Oryzias latipes: one gene and its partners. The protein of the gene in region 2 interacts with the protein of the main gene of each other region in a pairwise test. Links are inferred from orthologs where the notes say so. Each region holds a gene or a part of one and is shown on either strand. Other genes may lie near its edges.

Region 1 (4,231 bases), on a different chromosome or scaffold from region 2:
GATGAAACAAATTTTCAAAACATGAGCTTATTGATCAGAGCTGTGGAGGTTTTTCCTTTAGCCTCGTCTGCACTGTCAATCTTTCCATAACTTTGCAAAATATCTGGGAATGCTTCTATAAGCTGCTGAAATACTGACGGGAGGGCCGATTATGGGATGGGACTAACTTAATCAGGCAGCTCTAATGTGTGATCTGGTAATGCCGAAGTCTGATTTTCCATTAAAATGCTGCCTGTCAGACTCCGTATGATTTAGATTTACTCACAAGATGGTATTCCTTTGATAAAAAATATTCTAAACCACCAGATACTCACACACAGAACAATCAACTGCAGTGTGCTCACATTCAAAGAATAAGAGTCATTCTGCAGAGTTCAACATTTAAAGAAAGCAGTCAAGAAAAAAGAAAAAAAACGTGACAAAGATGTAACACAAGACTAAAGGCTTCAAATGAGTCATCACACCCCAAATGATGCGAAATAGCAGGTGGAAAGGTGCCTGACTGTCAACAGCAATCGTGCACGCACACGCAGACAGAAGGGCGCATGGACGTGCGTGTGCACGTGAGCAGACGAGTGCGCAAACATACAGTAAACGCTGCAAAGGTGTCATCAATAATGCATCAGCGCTTCATGTTTATGCAATTCTCAGGGCAACCCGAGCCATGTATATACGGGCGAGAGCCGTGCTCGCAGCAACTGCACCGCACGTAATAAGGCGTTTGTCTGTCAGCTCAGACGCACGCGCCGCGTCTCTACGCCTGTGGAAAGATTAGTGTTATTTCTTAAAAAAAAAAAAAAAAAAAAGTCTTCAGCACATACCTGTTAAAGCACTATTTCTTTGATTTTGGTTTATGCAGGCTTGAAGGGCTTCATGATAACACGGCACTAAGGCGGCACTGATATGCAAATTATCAGCTCCAGCTGAATGCTAGGGCATTTATTATTCATAAATTACTCATGTTTATGCAAATTACGGTATGCAGAAACACTACTGGTGGCGGAGTGGCTCTGGCTAAAACATACTTTCTGAGTCTGTTGGAGACCATCTACACTGGTACAATGTTACAATAGCAAAAAAAATAAACAAGGATGTTTGTACTTTAAATTATGTTTCAAAATGATTGTGTGCACATCAGTGAGTCCATTACATTTAATTATTCTGATTTTGTTTAGGAGGAAAGACTTAAAGGTCAATATTTACAGAAAAATAATTGCTTTCCACCTCAACAATTTGTTTGTCCAATTCATGCCGTTAAAAATAAGTGAGGTAAAAATGTGTACACTTCAACATTTTGTTAACTTTATATTAAAGAAACATAATTATAAATAAGTTTAAATAAAATGAGAAATTGAGTATTTCATAAGGAAAAATCATAGCACGCACTAATACAGGAAGCACGGTAAATGCGTCATCAACAAGGGTCCGCATTACGTAAATATCGCGCGACGTCCTCACTACTACTTGGGGGTGAACAACACACAGCCCGATTTAACTACTTTTACACTACGCTGATTACTTTAATCGTTCAAGGATTTCCGTGTGGTAAAATACATAAAGCTACTTTAGGATTATGTTGTGGTTTTAGCTCTCGTAAATCAGAAGCCGCCATGTATCACAACAGCTCTCAGCGAAAGTACTGGATCTTCAAAAGTGAGGCTGAACTTGAGCAGAAAAGATGCAGTGCCAATGAGGCATTTCGTAAAAAAGTCATAGAAAGTGGGAAGGTAGGTAACATTCTTTTAAGCATTTTAAAACGTTTAATGTAAACGGTTTGGGGGAAAAACGCGATTTTCTTTTTTAATTAAACATTTATTTGAAATCAGGCAGGTATGTATGAGTCCATGTTCTTGAAACGGAACGAAGAAGACGTTTTATTCCGCCATTATGAGAGGAGACTCCTGGACTTCTGCAGCGCTTTTAAGCCTCCAATGCCCAAGTCTGTTGTGGTGCGTGTGTGTCTCATTTCTTTTTTTTCATGTGTACAGACTCGACTAACTCTTACTGGAGCCCATCTTTTTTTCTAGGGCACTGCCATCATGTACTTCCGGAGGTTCTACCTCAACAACTCTGTTATGGAGCACCACCCAAGGATCATCATGTCAGTGACTGTCACTGTGGAAAGGATAAGACATTAAACATTCGGTTCAAAGATGCGAATGGTTCATTCTAAAAGTTTAAATGCAAATGTGATGTTTCTGCAGGAAGATGGGAACGATTCCGTTTGTTCATATATTACAAACATGCATGTACGTTTCCAGCTGTTGACGTACCTTCTTGTCCAGGCTGACGTGTGCATACCTGGCCTGCAAAGTGGACGAGTTCAACGTGTCCAGCACCCAGTTTGTGGGCAATCTCCTGCATGAGACGCCAGCTGGACAAGAACGGGTTCTTCAGCAAATCCTGGAGTATGAACTGCTGTTAATCCAACAACTCAGTTTTCATCTCGTGGTCCACAACCCCTACAGACCGCTAGAGGGTTTGCTCATCGACCTCAAGGTTTGTACCTTACAGAAGAGAGCTGAATGTCACTCCAGATCGCCAGTTTTTAATCCGTGTTCTTTGTCTTTTAGACTCGCTATCCTGCACTGGAGAACCCAGAGTCACTGAGGAAGAGTGCTGATGACTTTCTGACCCAGGCGGTCATGACGGATGCCGGACTGCTGTGTTCTCCCTCTCAGATCGCTCTGACAGCTATTCTGAATAGCGCTTTAAGAGCTGGCCTCAGCATGGAAAGGCAGGTTTGCTTTAGCCTTAACAACAATGTATGTGAAATTCAACTTAATTAGAAAAACAAATTAGGTTTTGCAAGTTGAAACTTGGAATTTAAATGGAAAAGGTATACATTATTCTGGAAAGAAATTGATCAAATGAAGGTGGTGACAAATATTTTGAAGAAAATTCTCTGAACATTTCCTCCTTTTCAGATATTTCTAAATTATAAGCTCAGTTGGTGCAAAAAAGTTTTTTTCTTATATATATTTTTTAAAACTAAAATCCTATTTTATTTTCCTTCCCCAGCTACCTGACTGAGTGCTTGGGACTGAAAGACGACAAAGATTCCCTCTCAAAGATTTTCGACTTAATGAGGCGTAAGTCAACTTGCACTTCAGTGTAACACCACTAGATGGCAGAGTTGTGCTGTTATTCCTGTATGATGTTTTGAATTCATGCGTTTGGCACATGCAGGAACAAAAAGCCTCCTCAAGAAGTATGAGCTCCCCAAAGCAGAGGAGGTGAACGTTTACAAACAGAAGCTGGAGAGGATTCATGCAGAGTTTAGCAGTTCAAGCAAGTAAGAAACATAAAAACACACATGAGCTCTTTTAAGTCAGGATTTCAATCTTTAAACATTGTCAATCTGTGATTCCTGCTGCATTATTTACCCACAACAATAGCGACCGAGAACAACAATCCACGCGTATGTAGTAACCGTTTATTTCAGCCAGGTTGTTGTATCTAAGATGCAAAAGGTTCAGTATTGGGTAGAAAAATAAAAATGAACACATCCTCGTCTGTTGTATGAAACCCCTACATCAGTGGTACAGCCGATGAGTCGCCTGGGCTCATCTGCCAACACTCGGTGAGGTCCGTGGTATCTTCAAGTGCAACTACAGTAAACAGTTTGGTAAACTATGACAGGCACAGATCCAGACGTTGCAGCTGCTTAGAACATGAAGGGAGGCAAACAAAGCCGACCCTTTATGACTTTGAAGTTTAGAAATCGCTGCATGGCGGGACTTTTCAGGGTGAATCGGTGGGAAAAACAGTCAGAGCAGAGGTGTACTCGGAGGACAAAGCAAAAACGCCATCTTGTTGTAATGGCGGAGAAACGAGGAGCTACAAGAAATCCAGGCTTTCAATGACATCAAAGGCATAAAAGGGGTTTAGGTGATGGTTGTTGGAGCAGCAGATACGTAGGCCCAAACATTGTCGCTGTATCCATTCAGGGTTAATGCATGCACAAGGCAGGCTACAGGTGTATACTACAAACCTTTAGACTAATCTCTGCTCCGCTATATCCTACACAAACACTTCTTTACAAGCCTAAGTAGGTAATAACAGACAAAAGCAGCGTAGAAAAAAAGCAGGAAGTGGTTTGGGTGCTGTAAGCAGGTTCATACATGAAGACAGTAACGGATATAAATAGTTTGGAAGAAGAGAACTTTGTCGAATCGGGGGATGTCGGTGAGCAGAAATGGAGTTAAGGCTTGTGTTGATTCGTTTCTTT
Region 2 (3,500 bases):
GCTCAACGCTGGGCTCTGTAATGTTACAAGAGCCAGCAGAAAGTGTCTGTTATTATATTTATAAAATACAGTTTTTATTAATGTTCTATGAATTCTTTTTGTGGCATTTATCCTCCACGTCTTAAAGTTCGCTCTGTGAAAATATGGTCTGACTTTAAACCGGTCCGTGATCAGATGTAGGCGACACACAGCAATAAAGCATCTGAGTATTTTAGCATGATAGCATGGTTGCATGATAGCATGGTAGCATCAGTGTCACCACATCGCTGTCTCCATATCAACCCTCTTCCCTAAACATTCTGTTGCTGCTGTAAGTCCAGCAGGGACACACACAAAAAGGGCTTATTCCTATTATTGTTGTTTGGTCTTATATGTGTGTTTGATAGTAACAATTGTTTCTTTATTGTGCAACTGAATGTGAATTTCTGTAAATTGAAAAATGTGCAATAAAGGTTATTGAGAGAAAAAAATTCTCCTCTAGGTCTTTCTGGAGCCTGGTACAAACCCTCACATGTTCTGCTGCTTCATCGGGTTAAACTAAAAGCAGAGGCAACTAGCAGAAGTTATGGGGTAAGGGGCAATTCTCGCGGTTCCTGTGCTTGTTTTTTTTTCCCCTCTGCCTCACAAAAGGCATTAAACCTCACATAAATCAGCCTTTGGTCCCTCACAAGGGTGGCTGGTGCAGGCATCAAAAACATGAGGGACAAAGAAACATCACACAAAGTTCTTTATGAGATTCATTTCAACGCATTTGTATAAAGCTCAAATGGCCTCACAGCATTTACTAACCTGGTGTGACATGATTTCTGCAAAGTCTGACTGAAGCGATCTCAGATAACATCTGGAACCTGCTATATGTACCACAGTCCTCGGATGAAGGACATCAGGTAGATTCATGCATGAACAAACAGCCTCTGAGCTCTTGAGACTTCAATAAATACTAAACAAAGTCCAGTGTAGCCGCACTTCTTCTAACTTGGAGCCGAAACACCCCGTTTACATCCTAAGCCCCAAACAGAGTTTGTAGTGTTTACTCACTTCTTTGTGTGAAATGGCGAGTTCTTCCTCCAAAGCGCTGCATCGCTCCAGAGCAACACGAAGACGCTCTCTTACCTTCAAAGGTGGAACATAAACCTTTTTAACTTCATTCATCCTTATCAAGCACAGTATTCTACCAGGAGCTGTTGGACATTCCCTACAAAAACACACCTTCTCATCAAGGGCTTTGTGGTGTTCAAAAAGTGACTTGAGAGCCTTGAGGACCTCCACCTCGCTGGAGACACCAGCAGGAGACTGAGCCTGCCTCTTCACCACGGTCATCCTCAGACTGCGCTCGTGACGCGACACCAGGCACTCCAGGTGTTCCAGCAGGAGCTGCACACACCACAGACAGGGAGGACCAGAGTGAAGCCTCGCTCCTGCTCTCAAACTACACATTTTGGAAACCATGAACTGTTTTTTGTCTCCATAAGATTTGTTGTCAATGTTAAACAGTAAAAGAGTTTTTGTTTTGACAACTGTTGCTAGCTAGATCCAAGGAAAAAGGTGTGCATCTCACTCACCCGGGTGTTGTTCCTCTCCGCCTTCAACTCGGCGATCTCCTCCTCTTTCTCCAGAAGCTGCTCCCGGCACACGTTCACCTCCTTTGTTAGTGCAGCAAACTCCTAAAGAAGCATGAAGCACAAAGAGAACAGGGGGCATGCAGCCGTTACTGATGCGCTGTGCACCGTGAGGCTTCATGGCGGAGAAACCCTCCGCTCTCATGTAAACACAGACAGACATTTCAATCACAGCAGAACTCTGGCATCATAGGAAACCCAGAAATACAGAGAGCACTGCAGAGAAGGTTTCACTAACTCAGAGAAGGTTTCACTAACTCAGATAATGTGTCACTAGCTCAGAGAAGGTTTCACTAACTCAGAGAAGGTTTCTCTAACTCAGAAAAGGTTTCACTAACTCAGAGAATGTGTCACTAGCTCAGAAAAGGTTTCACTAACTCAGAGAAGGTTTCTCTAACTCAGAAAAGGTTTCTCTAACTCAGAAAAGGTTTCACTAACTCAGAGAATGTGTCACTAGCTCAGAGAAGGTTTCTCTAACTCAGAAAAGGTTTCACTAACTCAGAGAATGTGTCACTAGCTCAGAGAAGGTTTCTCTAACTCAGAGAAGGTTTCTCTAACTCAGAAAAGGTTTCTCTAACTCAGAAAAGGTTTCTCTAACTCAGAAAAGGTTTCACTAACTCAGAGAATGTGTCACTAGCTCAGAGAAGGTTTCTCTAACTCAGAGAAGGTTTCTCTAACTCAGAAAAGGTTTCTCTAACTCAGAAAAGGTTTCACTAACTCAGAGAATGTGTCACTAGCTCAGAGAAGGTTTCTCTAACTCAGAAAAGGTTTCACTAACTCAGAGAATGTGTCACTAGCTCAGAGAAGGTTTCTCTAACTCAGAGAAGGTTTCTCTAACTCAGAAAAGGTTTCTCTAACTCAGAGAAGGTGTCTCTAACTCAGAGAAGGTTTCTCTAACTCAGAGAAGGTTTCTCTAACTCAGAGAAGGTTTCTCTAACTCAGAGAAGGTTTCTCTAACTCAGAGAAGGTTTCTCTAACTCAGAGAAGGTTTCTCTAACTCAGAGAAGGTTTCTCTAACTCAGAGATGGTTTCTCTAACACAGAGAAGGTTTCTCTAACTCAGAGAAGGTGTCTCTAACTCAGAGAAGGTTTCAGTAACTCAAAGGAAGATTTCATTAACTCAGAGAATGTGTCACTAGCTCACAGAAGGTTTCACTAACTCAGGGAAGGTTTCACTAACTCAGGGAAGGTTTCACTAACTCAGGGAAGGTTTCACTAACTCAGGGAAGGTTTCACTAACTCAGGGAAGGTTTCACTAACTCAGAGAAGGTTTCTCTAACTCAGAGAAGGTTTCACTAACTCAGGGAAGGTTTCACTAATTCAGAGAAGGTGTCACTAACTCAGGGAAGGTTTCACTAACTCAGGGAAGGTTTCACTAACTCGGGGAAGGTTTCACTAACTCAGGGAAGGTTTCACTAACTCAGAGAAGATTTCACTAACTCAGAGAAGTATCACTAACTCAGAAAAGGTTTCACTAACTCAGGGAAGCTTTCACTAACTCAGGGAAGGTTTCACTAACTCAGAGAAGGTGTCACTAACTCAGGGAAGGTTTCACTAACTCAAGGAAGGTTTCACTAACTCAGAGAAGGTTTCACTAACTCAGGGAAGGTGTCACTAACTCAGGGAAGGTTTCACTAACTCAGGGAAGGTTTCACTAACTCAGAGAAGGTTTCACTAACTCAGGGAAGGTGTCACTAACTCAGGGAAGGTTTCACTAACTCAGGGAAGGTTTCACTAACTCAGGGAAGGTTTCACTAACTCAGAGAAGGTTTCACTAACTCAGGGAAGGTTTCACTAACTCAGAGAAGGTTTCACTAACTCAGGGAAGGTTCCACTAACTCAGAGAAGGTTCCACTAACTCAGAGAAGGTTTCACTAACTCA
Region 3 (4,002 bases), on a different chromosome or scaffold from region 2:
GACCCACCTCGAGCACAGACTAAACCCCGCCCAAAGCCAATTACTTAAAACCATTGACTGTATATGAGAACTGGACTGAGTGAATGTGACGTCACCCATGGAAAATGGTTTACTTATGGCTCCAACAAAATGTAATCAATTCAGTCGTCTGTTTTTTGCGATACAGACACCACCGTGTTGGAGTCAGCAGTGATATGTCCAAATTGGACCCCTGCATTTCTATGGCGACAACTCTCACCAATCGGTACTGTTGGAAGTCCACATTTCTACCACCTGTCAATCAAGTTTACAAAACTTTGGCCGCTGAATTTTATTGAGGCATCTGATGGGTCAGCTTATAGCTTGAATAACCTTTACAACAGAAAAAATATCATGAAAGAACTAAGATTATTGAGAATTATGATAATCTTTTGATTTTTAGAGCATTCCCAGTGGTCTTTCAATTATGATTATGCTGTTTTTAGCCAAAATAATTTTTTTTTGGCTAAAAGTTTCTGCAGAGTGGCAGGAGTTCATTAGAAATTCACCTCTGAGTTTTGGGTTAGGGGTTAAGCTAAAGATGACGTCTGTCACCCACAGCAGAGAGTTCTCTGTTTACACTCTCTCTCGCTACCTTTCAGGCCCTTACACCCCCAACCTAACATTACTGTGGATGATGGTGAAGCTCTTCAACCGTACAGTCTAGATCCAGATTCCAGCTCAGAATGGAGCAGGGAGCTTTTGGCCCACCCAGCGTATTTTCTACATCACAAATATCCTCTTTTTCAAACTGTTTTTTGTCTCATCTGCTCCTGATTCACAGCAATTTGAATAAAGAAATACTCAGAAATGCAATTATAACCTTAATTCTCTTCAAAGTTGTCCTCCATCTTCAGAAAAATGCCATAAGAACATGTTAAAAACACCACAAAACTGTGATTTTCTATGAAAATCACAGTTTTCATAGAAGTGGGTCTTTAAAAAAAAAGGTTTCAGAGCAAGAATAGTTATTCTGAAAAATAGAATGACTGAAGAACTTCTGTTTATTTCTCTATAGAAGTCTATGCGATTTTGGCCTGTTTGGGACGCCAGGAGGGAGGGGTCACTCAGTTCAGTTCTCATTTACAGTCAATGGTTGAATCCTGCAAAACATGCATAAGATAGGCCGAAGCTTTCTTCCATGCATGACAGTATAATCTAAAAAAGAAATGGACATGCGAACAATAAAAAATTTAAAGAGGAAATCTTTAAGCTTTCCAGGTAATTTGTTTTTTATTCTTAAAAGCAACCCTAAAACATGTTCAATTGTAGGCAGCTGAGCTAATTATTTTATTTTATTTCTGCAGGAATGAATATCTCATAATCAAAGTCCCTTAATCTCAGTGAAAATATGGTTAATATATAAAATAAAAAAACAACAACAATAGTCTCGGTTTGCAAAATTAGTGTTAAACTGTCAAAGAAATTCCTTTAATCCGGCCCAACTGACCTGTGACCGATATCCAGGGCCTTCATATCAAAAGCTTCACCGGACCTGAGCTGCAGCTTCTGCTGGTACATGCTTTCCAGCTCTGCCATGGTGCGTTCGTGGGCCCTCTTCAGCTCCTCCAGCTTGCTGTAGTATTCCTCATTGGAGAAGAAGATTTCACTCAGGTCCAGGCGGTCGACGGCTGCCCTGAAGCTGCCCCCCACGTGAGCTCCTCCCATCCCCAGACAGTCCTCATCACAGAAATCCGAGCCCGAGTCCCAAAACTCCAGCTGAAATGCCCAAAGGTCACTCAAGGATCATCATGTTAATTAACAGGTATTTGAAGGCTTCCTACATGAATTTATTAAAAGTTTGTTTTCACTTCTATGCCCTAAAGAACACTGCTGCCCTGTTGAGGGGCAGTAAGGTCTTCAGGACTAAGCTCATTATCCTGCAGTCACAATGATCAGAGCCATATGGTTGGAACACAAAGGTGAGCTCAGCATGAAGGAGCTCCGCTGACATCTACTCCTCCTAAAGTGTCCGGCCTCCATTAAAAAGGATGTTTGTCAGAAGCGTTTCTGAAAATTAGACCAACTTGCTACGAGGTGTTTTTTCCACAGAAGGTCATTGCTGTTAAAAGGATATAAAAGAGATTACCGACCCAACAAGACTTCTGGTAATCTAGTGAAGACAGAAATCCAAAAATAGACGGGACAACAAATGACAGATCAAATCCCTTCCACCTGGCTGACCTGAAACTGTCAACATCCTGTTAACTGGACATAACCTGTCTCAGGTCAGAGGGAGCTGCACTCAGACTACAGGAAAACAACAGCTTCACCCACCTTCACATTGTAATAAATAAATAAATAAATAAAATATAGTATAACAACCTCCAATCTAAAGTGTATACAAAGTTTCTATATATCTCAATAAATACAGAGTTGTCTTAACTATTTTTAGAAAGATTATTATTTTGAAAGTGTGACTTTTATTGTGAAATATTTTTAAACATGTGTTTACCTCTTTCTCATAGTCCCGGTTGTCCAGCTGGCCTGCAGTCGCGTGCGTTAGGACTGCCCCGCGCTCGTATGACGCAAGCGGCGCCTTGGTGTGCGGGTCCACCGGCGCCTTCAGACAGGAAGTTAATAAAACGTTCGTCCGGTGAGGATTCGCCATCTTTTTGTTGAAACAGTTTTTTTTTTTTAAAAAAGCGCCTTGATGAGGTTCTGTTACTTAGTTCGTTCCCCGGAGGGAACAGTCGTTGTCAGGTTGGCTGGCTTCTTAGCAACGGAGAAGCATCGTTAGGAAGGAAGTGACGTAAAACGGAAGCAAAGAACAAAGCTCTGATACAAAATAAAAGCGTTGGAAACGTGTACATTTTTAAACTGAACGCTTAAAATGAATCGAGTAAACACAGGTTCTGACCATTAAAATGTATATATTTTTTTCTTATTTGATTAATTGAATGAAAACGGCTACTTAAATAAAAAAAAGTATCTTAATTCAAATAATAAAATTACTTATGCATTGAATTTATTTTGCATAGAAGCAGGACTTTTTTTTTGAACCAGGCCATGATCATCACCCAATTTTTGAAGACACACAAAAATTCTATCTAAAGATTTTACATTTTTAACCAATTCTATAGAAAAGCAGCACCGTCCACGTCTTGGATGAGCATGAGGTCAGAGGCACCGGCGCCTGGAGTCTAATTTTTTTTAAGGTATGAGTGTTAGACTGACCAGGAATCACTTTAAATTCTATTGTATGCGTGACAATGACAAATAAAGATCTGTCATTACTCTTTAATCAAGAGAAAACCTTATTTTATAACAGCAAATCAACATTTTACATTTAGGTCATGTTTTATAATGTTACCATTAGTCTGATAAGTACTAGAAACCAGATTTTATGCATCTTTTCATGCTGCAGAAATTATTTGGTAAATACGTGTTAACTCTGCGTTAATATTTCACATACTTTTTTCAAATTAGCGGTTTTCAAGACATACAATTTAAAAAAAATGAAGACCAGAACATGTTTCTAAATCTGTGTACTACACTTTAGTGCAACATAAAGACAAAGACAAAGAAAGAAAGACAAAAAGAGGCAGCAGTGTCAACAAAAAAAACCCCACAGCCTTTTATTAAATTAGGCAATGCAATAACTACAGCAGAAATCGGAGCAGACTGCTGTCGACGTGATGCTCTGATCCCTCGCAGAACAAACGGGCTTCAGAAACCGGACAGACCTATCGAGTGTTCACCTGGAACCAGAACACAAAAATTAATTTCCAATCATACTTCTGTAAAATGAAAAAGGGAATCCAGTTCTGAGTCTTACCACGTCATCGATCTTGAGGATGCTACGGACCGTTTCTGTGGCCAGAGTCAACGCGCTGATGGAAACCAGCACGGGCTGCACCACCAGCTCCTCCAAGATGTTTGAAATCCCCCCCTGTCCAAAAAATAAATAAATCTGTCAAGCTGTCAACCGCGCACAGACGGAGCAAAAGGAAAGCACGCCGACCTTGCGGACGTTGATGCCGG

What was found.
Region 1: the proteins of liprin-alpha-1 (region 2) and ccnh interact in binary tests that used the Homo sapiens proteins (3 or more experiments, as listed by UniProt). The link is inferred for Oryzias latipes from reciprocal best matches to the Homo sapiens genes PPFIA1 and CCNH.
Region 3: the proteins of liprin-alpha-1 (region 2) and fam161a interact in binary tests that used the Homo sapiens proteins (3 or more experiments, as listed by UniProt). The link is inferred for Oryzias latipes from reciprocal best matches to the Homo sapiens genes PPFIA1 and FAM161A.

What each region holds. Positions count from the first base shown.
Region 1 is NC_019867.2:14,756,282-14,760,512, reverse strand, and holds the start of ccnh (cyclin-H), read left to right. Parts: upstream 1-1,431; 5' UTR 1,432-1,610; coding exon 1,611-1,727; intron 1,728-1,826; coding exon 1,827-1,949; intron 1,950-2,027; coding exon 2,028-2,101; intron 2,102-2,285; coding exon 2,286-2,499; intron 2,500-2,573; coding exon 2,574-2,737; intron 2,738-3,021; coding exon 3,022-3,092; intron 3,093-3,189; coding exon 3,190-3,295; intron 3,296-3,422; exon of another isoform or gene 3,423-4,231. UniProt on the Homo sapiens protein: Regulates CDK7, the catalytic subunit of the CDK-activating kinase (CAK) enzymatic complex. CAK activates the cyclin-associated kinases CDK1, CDK2, CDK4 and CDK6 by threonine phosphorylation.
Region 2 is NC_019861.2:2,121,644-2,125,143, reverse strand, and holds part of liprin-alpha-1, read right to left. Parts: intron 1,665-3,500; coding exon 1,563-1,664; intron 1,375-1,562; coding exon 1,210-1,374; intron 1,114-1,209; coding exon 1,039-1,113; intron 1-1,038. UniProt on the Homo sapiens protein: May regulate the disassembly of focal adhesions. May localize receptor-like tyrosine phosphatases type 2A at specific sites on the plasma membrane, possibly regulating their interaction with the extracellular environment and their association with substrates.
Region 3 is NC_019859.2:4,112,924-4,116,925, reverse strand, and holds the start of fam161a (protein FAM161A), read right to left. Parts: upstream 2,801-4,002; 5' UTR 2,630-2,800; coding exon 2,474-2,629; intron 2,081-2,473; exon of another isoform or gene 1,738-2,080; coding exon 1,469-1,737; intron 1-1,468. Other genes in the region: cct4 (T-complex protein 1 subunit delta), read right to left, coding at 3,705-3,719, 3,797-3,910, 3,983-4,002. UniProt on the Homo sapiens protein: Involved in ciliogenesis.